Drosophila melanogaster: one gene and its partners. The gene in region 1 interacts genetically with each later gene. Each region holds a gene or a part of one and is shown in the gene's direction. Other genes may lie near its edges.

Region 1 (3,758 bases):
TAGCTACCACGCGGAGAAATACCACGTGCTGCCGATCATCGTTTTGCTTTCGATAAGTCACGATGGTTCACGTCTTGGAATTTCTACATCTATATGTAAAAAAAAAAAAAAAAAAATTATCAGAATAGTGAAACAGTACAACCAACTTTAAAGTTGTAATAATTAAAATTGTTTGTAAATGTGGTTTAATATCATGTATACCATTTATTTTATAAATATCCACCAGCTGGTTGGACATCTGGCAACTCCTGTCATTACATGCTTTCAGTGTCGAGCGTTTTCCAGCACTTGCATGTTTACCTTAAGAAGAAGAGTAGAAAAAATCGTTGTGTAGTGGCAAAATAAATAAATACAGATGTGAGTAGCAGTAAATAAAACATACAAAGTGCAAAAAAGGCATAAAAAGTGCATGACCCTCGCATAGTTTAGTTTCCAGCTGGGAAACCTTTTATTTGTCTACGATCGTACATTTATCTGCATGTGAAAACCTCAATGAAACAAAGGGAGAAATTAACGGTGTATTTTCCCAGCCGATTTACGTGGTTATATACATAAATATATGAAGTATCTGTGAGATCTTGAAATCCCTGGTGATAAAGTGTAAATGTTTGTCCTGCATTGCGGTAATCTCTTACAACAAAGTGGTTTGTTTTAAGTGGCCTTCTTTCGAGTTCAGTTTCAATGGCCTTTATCAGCTGTTTGGCACATGGCGTTGGAAGTGCGGGTGTGTGTATGTATGTAAATAGTATGTACAGTACGTACGTGTGTGCAAGGGTGACAGCTGTCGCCCCAGGGAGAGCAATGTAAGTGAGTAATATTTGTTTATGTGAAAGCAAAGTTCAACGGTACCTGCAAACACACAAACACACATCCCCAACATCCGTGCTGATTACGCTGCTGTTTTCACCTACACCGACGTACCACTGTGACAGTGTGTAAGGTTTTGCCTCTTCAGCATGATTCGGCACTATTTCGTCCAGTTTTTGCCTTTATCATTCATTTACCAACAACCAACTCAGCGTCACTTTATGCGGAAATTTAAAGCCGCACTTTGATGAACTAATGTTATTAAAGGGCGTGGATTTTCCAAAGTACGTTTGATTCGCCATAATACTTATATGGGATTTTTGGCGGGGGAAGTCCCTTTTGCCCTTATCTGATTAAACAAAAATATTTGTGTAGTACATATGTAGTGGTTTTAATTTGGTGATTCAGATAAGAAAAACATACGATAAATTTTAAACGTTTTGTAAACATTTCTCTAGAATAAATAATAAAATTAAAGGATAATCTTTGAAAGGGTTTTGTGTCTTAATATTATTAAATGAAAAAAAAAAATATTTCATTATTGTAGTTACTTCATTTAATGCGAAAAATTTTTTTAAGTGTGTATCAGTGATATTAATATTTCTATCGTCATGTGTATAAGGCGTTCATAAATTGAAATTGTTTTGGGAACATGACTTGATACTTCAAAATTTATTGCCTTTTCAATTGAGCTTGGTAACAATGATTAATCGGATATACCGTACAATATTGTGTATATGGCCATTTATGTTGTGAAATTCCCTTAAGACAGAACTCCGATCATGACTAAAATACTATGCAATAAAAAATAGAGAGACGTAATCTCTTTTAAACATATTCCACGATATGCGCATACGAAATTAGCTTAGCTTTTTGTTTTGATTGTATTCAATAGTTCATTTGGCACGGACTTTGAACACATTTTAGCTATCTTTTGAACAAAACGAAATTCCTAACTGCTTGCATGACACGCGTAATTTTTTTGCAAACGCTGTGTAGCCTGAGGCTCCATACAAAAACCTGTTGCTGGTAAACATGGTAAACAATTATGTTTGCCATCGGTTACGATTTGTGAGCATCATCGTTACGGTCCAAAAAACCGCCCACGGGCCGTGCGTTTCATTCATGGCATTATATAGTTTTTATCGCCACAACACGGAGTGTATTCACCTGGAAGGGCCACATAGAACTCAGGCACATGTGTGCACACACACACATATGTAAGCATGATAACGCTCTTTGAAACGCTCCCCCCACTCCGCCACCATCCCCGCGAGAGATAAGTCTCGGTGGGCTCTGTGGCTGGGCAGACGCAGACCACGGCAGTCAGTTGACGGGCTCTCTCCACGGCACACGCATGATCGCCGGAGCGGATTTGCGGAGAAGCAGCTGATCGCGCGCTTTCATTTTCACACGGACTTTCAGTCTTTGTTTGCGAAACTATTGATTATTGAAACTATCTCTACCGAACTAACGAAGCTGTGAAGGATCCCTATCGATCCGAGATTAGTGCCAAAATGCAAACCCAAATGCACTCGCCCATGCAATATGAGACCCACATCTCCGACATGCCCAACCACAAGGGATACCCCTGCCGCCCAGAAGGTTGGTTTTTTTTAAAGTTCTGGATTTGACCTTGGGTCTACAGTTCAATTCGCAACAAGTTTGCCAGATATTTTCGCTACGCGTGCTTTTGGTAAAAAAAAAAGAAACCACTGATCATGACGGTGCGCATTGCGAATCAAGTTCTCTGAAACAGCCCACAATGATTGGCGAAAACGATTCCAGATTGTGCTACAGTGAAGTCACTTGTAGTTGAATGTGAGATGATAAAAATTAATGGAGTGAAACGGCACTTATCCAGGTTGCATTGCTCGATTTGGACGTTTGAATAATTAGAGACATTTGAAATATTATCGCGAAAGAAACTGGTTTGTGTTGACAATGCAAATTCCGGTTGGCAATGTAGTATCCATTCGAAAGAGTGTTCTTGAAATAAACAGATAATTTACCTTAATCTTATCTTAGTTTTCTAATCGAGAGCTTATAAATCTTTAAGCCCAATTTACCAAATTACCAACTCATAAACTTACCAACTTATTCGCATTCAAAAACAAAATAAATGACCGCTTTAATTTCTAGAACGTATTAAAGGTCGGTCGTATCTAACCTTTCGGTTATCTTGGATATCCATAATATAGTACGTCATTTCACACTTGGAGGATTTCTTTAAAGTGCCATTTTTAATTTTTTTGCAAATTCATAACAGATTAGATAATAAAATAGAATAAATAGCCCGCGCTGATTGTCGATCTATTTGCGATGGATGAGGTACGAGGTACAAGGGTTACAGGGCTCAACTGTAGGGCGTGTATTGGTTTTAAGATTAATAATAATTAATAATAATTAATTACTATTTAATATAATTATTAATTATTATTAAATTAATTGTTAAATAATTAAAATTAATTGAATATTTTCTGAAATATGTCCTGGAATTACAATATGATCTATTCCTCGATTTTCCAGAGGCTGAGATGAGCAACACTTCGGAAAGTTGTTCCATCTCATGCGGTGGTCGATTCGGATCGGCGCACTCGACCCTAGATGATCACGATGCTACGGATGATGACATGACCTTCTGCATGTCCAATTACGCCAAGGAGGCCCTGAAGATGATGTACATGATGCGTTCGCACGGCATGCTCACGGACGTGGTACTCGAGGTGAAGAAGGAGCTCTTTCCCGCCCACAAAGTGGTGCTGTCGGCGGCATCGCCCTACTTCAAGGCCATGTTCACGGGGGGACTCAAGGAGTCGGAGATGTCGCGCGTCCAGCTCCAAGGGGTAAGTTGAGCTCAAGCGCGGCCCTTAATTGGTTGGTTTAATGGATGAACAGTTCGTCCGTTTCGGTGTTACAGGTGTGTCCCACGGCCATGTCACGCATCCTCT
Region 2 (3,758 bases), on another chromosome or scaffold:
CGTATGTATTATTTTAGATTCCTTAGGATCCTGGAAACTGGTGTCTACCGGAAGCAGCGCAGCTACTGGGTGCACATGAAGCTGCACTGCGTGGCCCAGAACTTCGTCATCACCGTGGGAATGGAGTACGTGGCTCCTCTGCTCCTCATGCTGATCTGCGCCGACATCCTGGTCGTGGTAATCCTGCTGGTGGAACTGGCCTGGAAGCGCTTTTTCACGCGTCATCTCACCTTTCACCCGTAGTGCTTTAAAATCGCTTTAAGCTGCTGTAACAACTATATTCTATTTGCACCCAGGAGAAAATAAAAACACTTTGCGTTAACTTTTCGCATCGCAAAATTATGCAGGGCGACGCTTTCCTCACTTCCTGTTTTCGCGCCGGAAAATTGCAGCACGGCTCGTTAAACGGAGGGATGGATAAAGGGGTTTGCAAAGGACGTGGTGGCCATGTTTCCATGCGATTTTCGTATTTGCATTAAAAACTTTTCGTGTTTGGCGGTTACTTTTTATACTCCATTTTCCCTTTTGGCAATGATTTTATTCATTCTCTTGGAGCCATTTTATTTGCATTTTCGTGCACGGCCACATTCGAATTGAAACTTTGTTCCCCAATGCCACGTGCGAATGTTAGATAACTGATTGTGAGCCTAATACGGCCTATTAGAAACAGTTAACAGTTGTGTTTTTCGCATTTCCCCGAATTTCACCGGAATCAGTAGTTTCCCTACCGCAGACATCGCATGTTGCCCCGAGATGATTTATGGTATTTTAATGATGGCGCATCGCCAGAGGCGACAAATATGGGAAGGGACGTGTCAAAGCTTTATCGAAATTGATTGTACAATAAATAAGAGTGAGTTGAGTTCGCACAAATATTATTAAATTGGGTGTAGGAGCAAATAAATGGTATTATATGGCTGCTAATCAAATACGCAGTAAATTATATATTTTTTCAAGATTTTACATTTGCCTAAGTCAAGCAAATAGTATTAAGAACTTCGTTCTTAAATGACTCCCAGTCGACCATTAAAATGCAACTGACACAACTGCTTGCCAAACAGCACTCACTGGCATTCCGGAATTCCCAAAGTATTACTATAACAAATTGCCTTAACAATTTGTCAACTCAATCTGGCTGTCAACAGGGCATCGCTTTGGCCATAGTTTATGCCATGAAAGGACTACTTTCCCTTCGCAGGGAGGACAACTTTGGAGTGACTCGAAATTGACAAGCAATTGTGAATTATTTATTATTTACAACATCGAACACGGGTGTCCCTTTTTATCCCTAGCAGCCTTAACCACTTTATTTTGCAATTTGTCAACAACATGTTCTCTTTTTTAAATGCAATGTATAGCCCTGTGGCAAGTAAAAAGTGTTCCATGCTTTGCGGCTGCGGTGTGAAATTGGTTTTGGCGGTTTCCGTACGTGCTAAATGAGCGCGAAACGGATTTAATTTAAACGGAGCTATTGTGGATGGGAAAACGATACCCGAGAAATTTATTATGACCAAACTCTTGGCCGGTACGATTATTAGACTTAAGTGTACGGGAAAAGATAAAAAGGGGGAAGCGGGCTTATGGCCATCACCTCATCAGTTTGATTACCCTTTCTGTTCCCCAGAGCCTGTCATATACGAATTGCCATTGCCAGTGATATCTTAAGATTTATATGGCCCAATGCTGCGAACGTCTTATCTGTAATTTAATCTGCTGGCCACTTAACGATAATGATAATGTCGATTGCAACTGGTCCGGCTGTAATCTAGGCCCGTATTCGACGAGTCCTCAGTAGATTTTCATTGCTCGAGCGGATTGAGTGGCAGCCGGAAATAATTCGAAAGTGTACGTACGGCTGGTGTTTGGTATTCACTCGGGGGAGTAATGTTTATTGCATTTTACGCCGGATTTATGGCCGTAGAAAGTATCTCAGGGTTCCGTTTCAAATGAAATTGTTATAAAATTAGCCAGCATTTCCAGTTGAACGGGTAAATGTGATTTGCATAGCCGAACCGTTTGTCATCGAGTTAAATGACCTCCGTTTGGTTTACTGTGTAACTTTAAAAAAAAAAAAACAAGTGAATTTATCGATACTACTTTTTAAAATCTTTCTACTAGAAAACAGGTGTTTTTGAGCTTAGGAGCACTTTTCGGATTACGCATACGCCACGTGCGCCCGTTGAAAAACAATAAACTTAGAGGGAACGACCATTAGAGCTTACTTGATATTGGGCAGCACAAATTAAAGCTAACAGCGCTATCCGCAATTAAACTGCCTAACTTAAAGTTAAGCGTAATTAAAATAGCTATGACTTATTCAATAACAGGTGCTAATTACGAAAGCTAACACAAACACGAAGTTTGAAATACCCTCCAAAATACAGTTGCTAACTTGATCGTTTTCAATACATTAATCAAGAGCTAGCACATGCGTTCAAAAGTATTGGAAAATCTTTAAGAACCCTTCGTAGTGACACAATATCTTCATAATCTAATCTATACCAGTTCGACTATCGGATTGCTTGGGATCTTTGAATGCCAAAGACCGCTAGCCGATAAGCATTTCCCACCATAAAGAATCACAAGGTTCGCAGATTTTCCCCCATCGAGAAATTCGAACATCTTATCGCTATCTTCGCACTCTTGAGAAGAAGGGGTATTCTAAACCCAATGCGAATGCACTTGCCAACTCGAAAAACGTGACGTTCGCTGACCGACCTCAACTCCCCCGCTTTTGCCGCTCGAATCAAATCGAATCAAATCGAATTGAATTGAATTAAATGATACTATATATGTAATCTGTAATGTGTGCTACCTGCTAGCGATCTACGTACGATCAACCTGCTGATCGGCACTTTGGCACTTGCTGCATCTTTTAATTGTTTTAGTTTTTATGCTGCCGCTGGCAACTCGCGTGATACCTCATACTTGGGCTCCCAGCCGCTTGGCTCCATTGTAGTCGCCGCTTGTTATTGGTTCTCGTTCCGTTGGGAGGGTTCGCACAGGTTCAGTCACTCACCGATCGCCTCGAAGCGCGAATCGTCGTCGCCGTCGTATCCAACAGTTCTCGGAACCTTAGAACTACCAAGCCGAAAAATAGTGGCAAGATGTACGGTTGTACTTTATAGTGAACAAGAGCAGTTGAAGAACCCATTAGTGCTATGAAAAGTTATAAAGTGCAATAGAAAGTTAACTCTATGTAAACATTTTTACATTTGTTGTAAATTCAACCTTTTACATATTATATTACATAAAATGCGAAATTAAATATCAAAGGCTTAAAATTTCTTATGGAAAAAAAATTATTTTATCTATTAATTTACTGATTAAAAAGTTATATTTGAAAACGAAAATCCCTTTAAGCACTCTATGCTTCAGAATTTTTTTTTCAAGATATATGCAAGATCTAGCATTCTCAATTTACCAGTGATATTTCGAAATAAATTTTGAGTATCGGGTATCATATTTTTTGATAGCAAGCAAAAGTAACTGGATAGGAAAGTGCACTGCGAATTGGGTCAACAACTTCATAACTGCGCAAATGGATCAAGTGAATCTCTTGAATGAGTCAGTGGCCAACGAAGTGCAGGACGGCTAAAAAGCATTTGCCTGGTCTCTGAATTAATTAAATTAGTTAATTTGTTATAATTATTTTACAGTTAGCGTGCCTTTTCTTTGTTGGCTAACAGGGCTCGTGCTAACTGTTGATTACATTATTTGAATTGGTTTGGCTTGTTGCAAGGTTAACTTAAATGATC
Region 3 (3,758 bases), 6.1 Mb from region 1:
TGAATAGATAATAGATAGATAATATGCTCATATAGAGAAGCAGACCGTTAAAGGTCAAAATGATAGCTGTTATGAAAAAGAGCAAATAAATTATAATATTGATTAGTCTACACAATTAAGTACATTTCTTATAAATAGAAATGTCATTTAAAATTGCTAACACCATAGATTTTAATAGTTAAAGAAGAAAAGATTAACAAATAAGTACGAATCTTTTGACCAATTTCTATAAAGAACCTGTCGATTAAATTTATAGCAGGGACTCATGGCTGATTCCCAAAATTTAGAAGTGCGACCAATTTAATTTATTTTATGATTCATTTATTGTCCCAATCTAATCGAAAAATTCCCCCTGTGGAACATTGGCTGATGTAATTTGCATTCTTCCAAGGCAGGGCCCACTGTATTGTGTACAATGGAGAAATCCCTCTATGGTTACTGATACCTAATACTTTGTTCCCAAATCAATTGATAGATAATGAATGCCGTTTCCACGCGGTTATCTTTCTGGATTCTCGTGGGAGTTGATATTGTTGTTGGGCATCCACTGTACTTATCTACATTTGAATTTGTGTGAATGTGTGTAATTTTCTCAATAAATGGCAAATAAAACAAACCATTAGGTTGGCTATATCTCATTTTTGAATTCCACCCGTCGAAGTTCGCTTATCAGTTTTTATAGCTCATTTACAGTGAAAGTTCGATAAAGTTACTAGCAGGGAATTCGAAGAAATTAAAAATAAAATCACACGAGTATGGCTACTAAAATATATATGAATTTATTATATCTTTGATCTGTCACATTGATCAAAATGAGTAAAAACACATTTTCTTATACGCCGAAAACAAACTGTTTATATTTAATGTCGGAACAGAATTATTAAGTTCAAAACCACCATCCTAAAAAAAAGCCTAGTCAACCTAGTGACCCATCCTTATCTGTGTGTTCGCTTTCATTCCAGTTGACATATTGACTCATCACCATTTGTGCCAGCTGATAAGCAATAATGATCGACTTAGAGGATCTGCCTCGGCTGCAATCCTTGTCCCCGGCGAAGGACATCGAATATACCTACCACCAGACCCAATTGCAGCTGAATCCGAAGAAGAAGGTCACCGTCCGGGTGCCCATTGGACCACCCTCGAAGTTGAGTAAGCTGATTAAGCCCACGGTGGCTTCCACGCCCGCTGTACTGGCCAAGCCAACGCCATCCATCACCCAATCGACGACGCCAGGTAACGCCAAGACCAACATTTGGAAAGGTGGCTTCCATTTTACCAATCTGGTAAGTATTGAAAGGCTTCGGTGTTAATTACTTTATCCAAATGCCAGCACAAATGTTCCCAGTTCAGAACGCAATATATCTATAAATTACCCCCATCAATCTAAATTAATTTTTATGAGCAGGTCTTTTAGATAGATTGATAGTCTTCTAGCTATATTTTGAATTACACGTTCTGAATAGTGTGGCTATCTGTTTTATTGAGCAAGTCTAATACAAATGTATCCATTTGTGATATCAATAGCTAACGGAAGTTATTGTTAAGATATTTGTATTTTTGCATGCATGTAGAATATCAATATCAATATCATGAAAAAAAATTATTTTAAATTAATATTAAGGAAATATAAAACTATATATATCCCTTTATTTTTAATTTTAATACAAATTTCAACTTTGTTATGTAGAACTAGTTAAAAAAATGACTAATGCAAATTAACTGAAAAATTTGCATGGACACGTGTCAAAAGCTTATAAGCTTACACCATATCTACATAAAATTGCAATAGCCACCATGTCTACATAAGTTACTCTTAGGGAAAATATAAATATGTTCTTTATATTCTTAAGATATTCTTTCTAAAAACTAAATCTAGAAATAAAAGGTAGGTAATAAAGATACATTTGTAACCGAAATCTACATTTCTAGCTCTCCTTTAAAAAGCTCTTTCTGTCACTGTTAGTTTAAGCTACATTTAACATTTCTGTTAAAAGCACAATGTATTATGGTGAGACCGCACTTGGCGGCCCCGAAAAAAACCGCAAAAGCACAAAACTCAACAAAATCGTCTGCAAAGAGCCTCAACTGGGCACACTTGATAAAAGCACCGCGCTGGACAGACGTTTTTTGCCTCAAATGTTTTGAGGCCGCAATCGAAAATCGCGACTGATTTCGACGGCGGAGAAATTGCCAAACGCGGCGTAACAAACAAAACACGTTTTCAAGCTCACCACGTAGGTACGGCGGTTGGCGAAAGAGAGTAGCAAAGCGGACGCGACAATAATTTGCCAAATAACAGTGAAAGAAGACGCGTAAAGGTGCGAAGTACACGCCGCTTAAATTGTGTGTGTGTGTGTGTGCGTGTCTGGCTGCGTGTGCTTGTGTGCCGGAACAACAAATGAAAAAGTTTCGGTTGTGCGTTTAAGAACTACAGTTGCGAAATGTTGCATGCCCCACTAAATAAGTGCAACTCATTGTGTGGTGGTGGTACTGTCGGTGGGGGTGGTGGGTTAAAGGCAATCAAAACAACAACGACCAACAGGCTAGCAACAACAGTTATTCAGCAATCGCCCCCTCTCGCTCTCGCGCTCAGTCTCCCTCTCTCGCTCCCTCTCCACCGCTCAGCTGACAGAATGCAATCGAGAAAAACATCGAGTTAGAAAGAATAGGGAACGAAAAGGAACTAGCAATTTGATAAATAATTTGTTGATGCAAAGTGCAGAGTGAATGTTGAAATGCTGCCGTTGCCGGTTATTCTCTGCTCATTCTCGAAGCTTCCATATTTCATTTTTCCTATTTGTTTTGCTCTCCGCGATTCTCAGCAAAAAATTAAATCGTTTTGCATTTAATTAATTGCATTAATTGTGGGCACAGACCGAATTGGAATTGGCAAGAAAAAACAGCAGTTGTATGCTTCAACGTGTGCGTGTCTTTTTTTTTGGTGTGTGAGTCAGAGAGAGACGAGAATCGGGCGATAAAAGAAAACAAAGAAATACAAAGCAATGTGGAGGCAAAACACATGCAAATATTAGGCAGTGTAAAAACAACAAACGAAGCGAAAATATTATTGTTTTAACCCTTGATGGACTTGACAATTTTTTGTACCTTAACGTAGTTAAATAATTTTACAGCTGTCTTGAAAATCTTAACATACAAATGACTTCAAATTCTAATTTGACGTAGGTCCAATATAGGGTTAACAAATAAGTGACGATTTCACCACGTAAAACGGCACCACCACCACACACACTCTCACACAAAAGTGCGTACCAGACGGCGAGAAAGAAGCACCAGGTGGCACATAATCAAATATCAATTGTTATTAATATTTAATGGCACTTGAATGCAAATTGTCTGCAGAAGAGAAAGTTCAAGGACGCAGACAAGCGAAATATATATTTAAAGTTGTTAAATAAATAAAACGCGTGTTTTCCAGCAATTAAAAGTAAAAATCGTAGAAAGTGAAACATAAACAAATAAGGTCTTGCAGAGCAAAAGAAAAGTGAACGGTAAACAATAAACCATTGTGTGTGCTGCAGGGAAGAAGAAGCAGCGAAGAGGAAAAGAAGATCAAGCAACGGCAACAACAACAAGGAGAACATTTACTGCGCCGCAGCTTTTTTACCGTTGTAGTCGGGTCTCATCATCCAAAAAAAATTTGAGGTGAGTGCACTGCAATACAGCCACAATCACACGCACACCCACACAAGAACCCTCTCTTGCACGCACATGCACACGTCATTTCCCTACCCCTC

The links.
Region 2: of Keap1 (region 1) and Cln3, changing one suppresses a phenotype caused by changing the other (phenotypic suppression), as found in Drosophila melanogaster (one study listed by BioGRID).
Region 3: of Keap1 (region 1) and cnc, changing one suppresses a phenotype caused by changing the other (phenotypic suppression), as found in Drosophila melanogaster (one study listed by BioGRID).

What each region holds. Positions count from the first base shown.
Region 1 is NT_033777.3:17,076,472-17,080,229, reverse strand, and holds the start of Keap1 (Keap1), read left to right. Parts: upstream 1-2,127; 5' UTR 2,128-2,324; coding exon 2,325-2,412; intron 2,413-3,336; coding exon 3,337-3,653; intron 3,654-3,727; coding exon 3,728-3,758.
Region 2 is NT_037436.4:17,812,147-17,815,904, reverse strand, and holds the start of Cln3 (Cln3), read left to right. Parts: upstream 1-1,785; 5' UTR 1,786-1,845; intron 1,846-3,013; exon of another isoform or gene 3,014-3,109; intron 3,110-3,758. Other genes in the region: Ir75a (ionotropic receptor 75a), read left to right, coding at 18-243.
Region 3 is NT_033777.3:23,220,325-23,224,082, reverse strand, and holds the start of cnc (cap-n-collar), read left to right. Parts: upstream 1-2,121; 5' UTR 2,122-2,237; exon of another isoform or gene 2,238-2,321; intron 2,322-3,186; exon of another isoform or gene 3,187-3,439; 5' UTR 3,440-3,666; intron 3,667-3,758. UniProt on the Drosophila melanogaster protein: Plays a role in posterior cephalic patterning. Probable subunit of a heterodimeric regulatory protein involved in the control of head morphogenesis.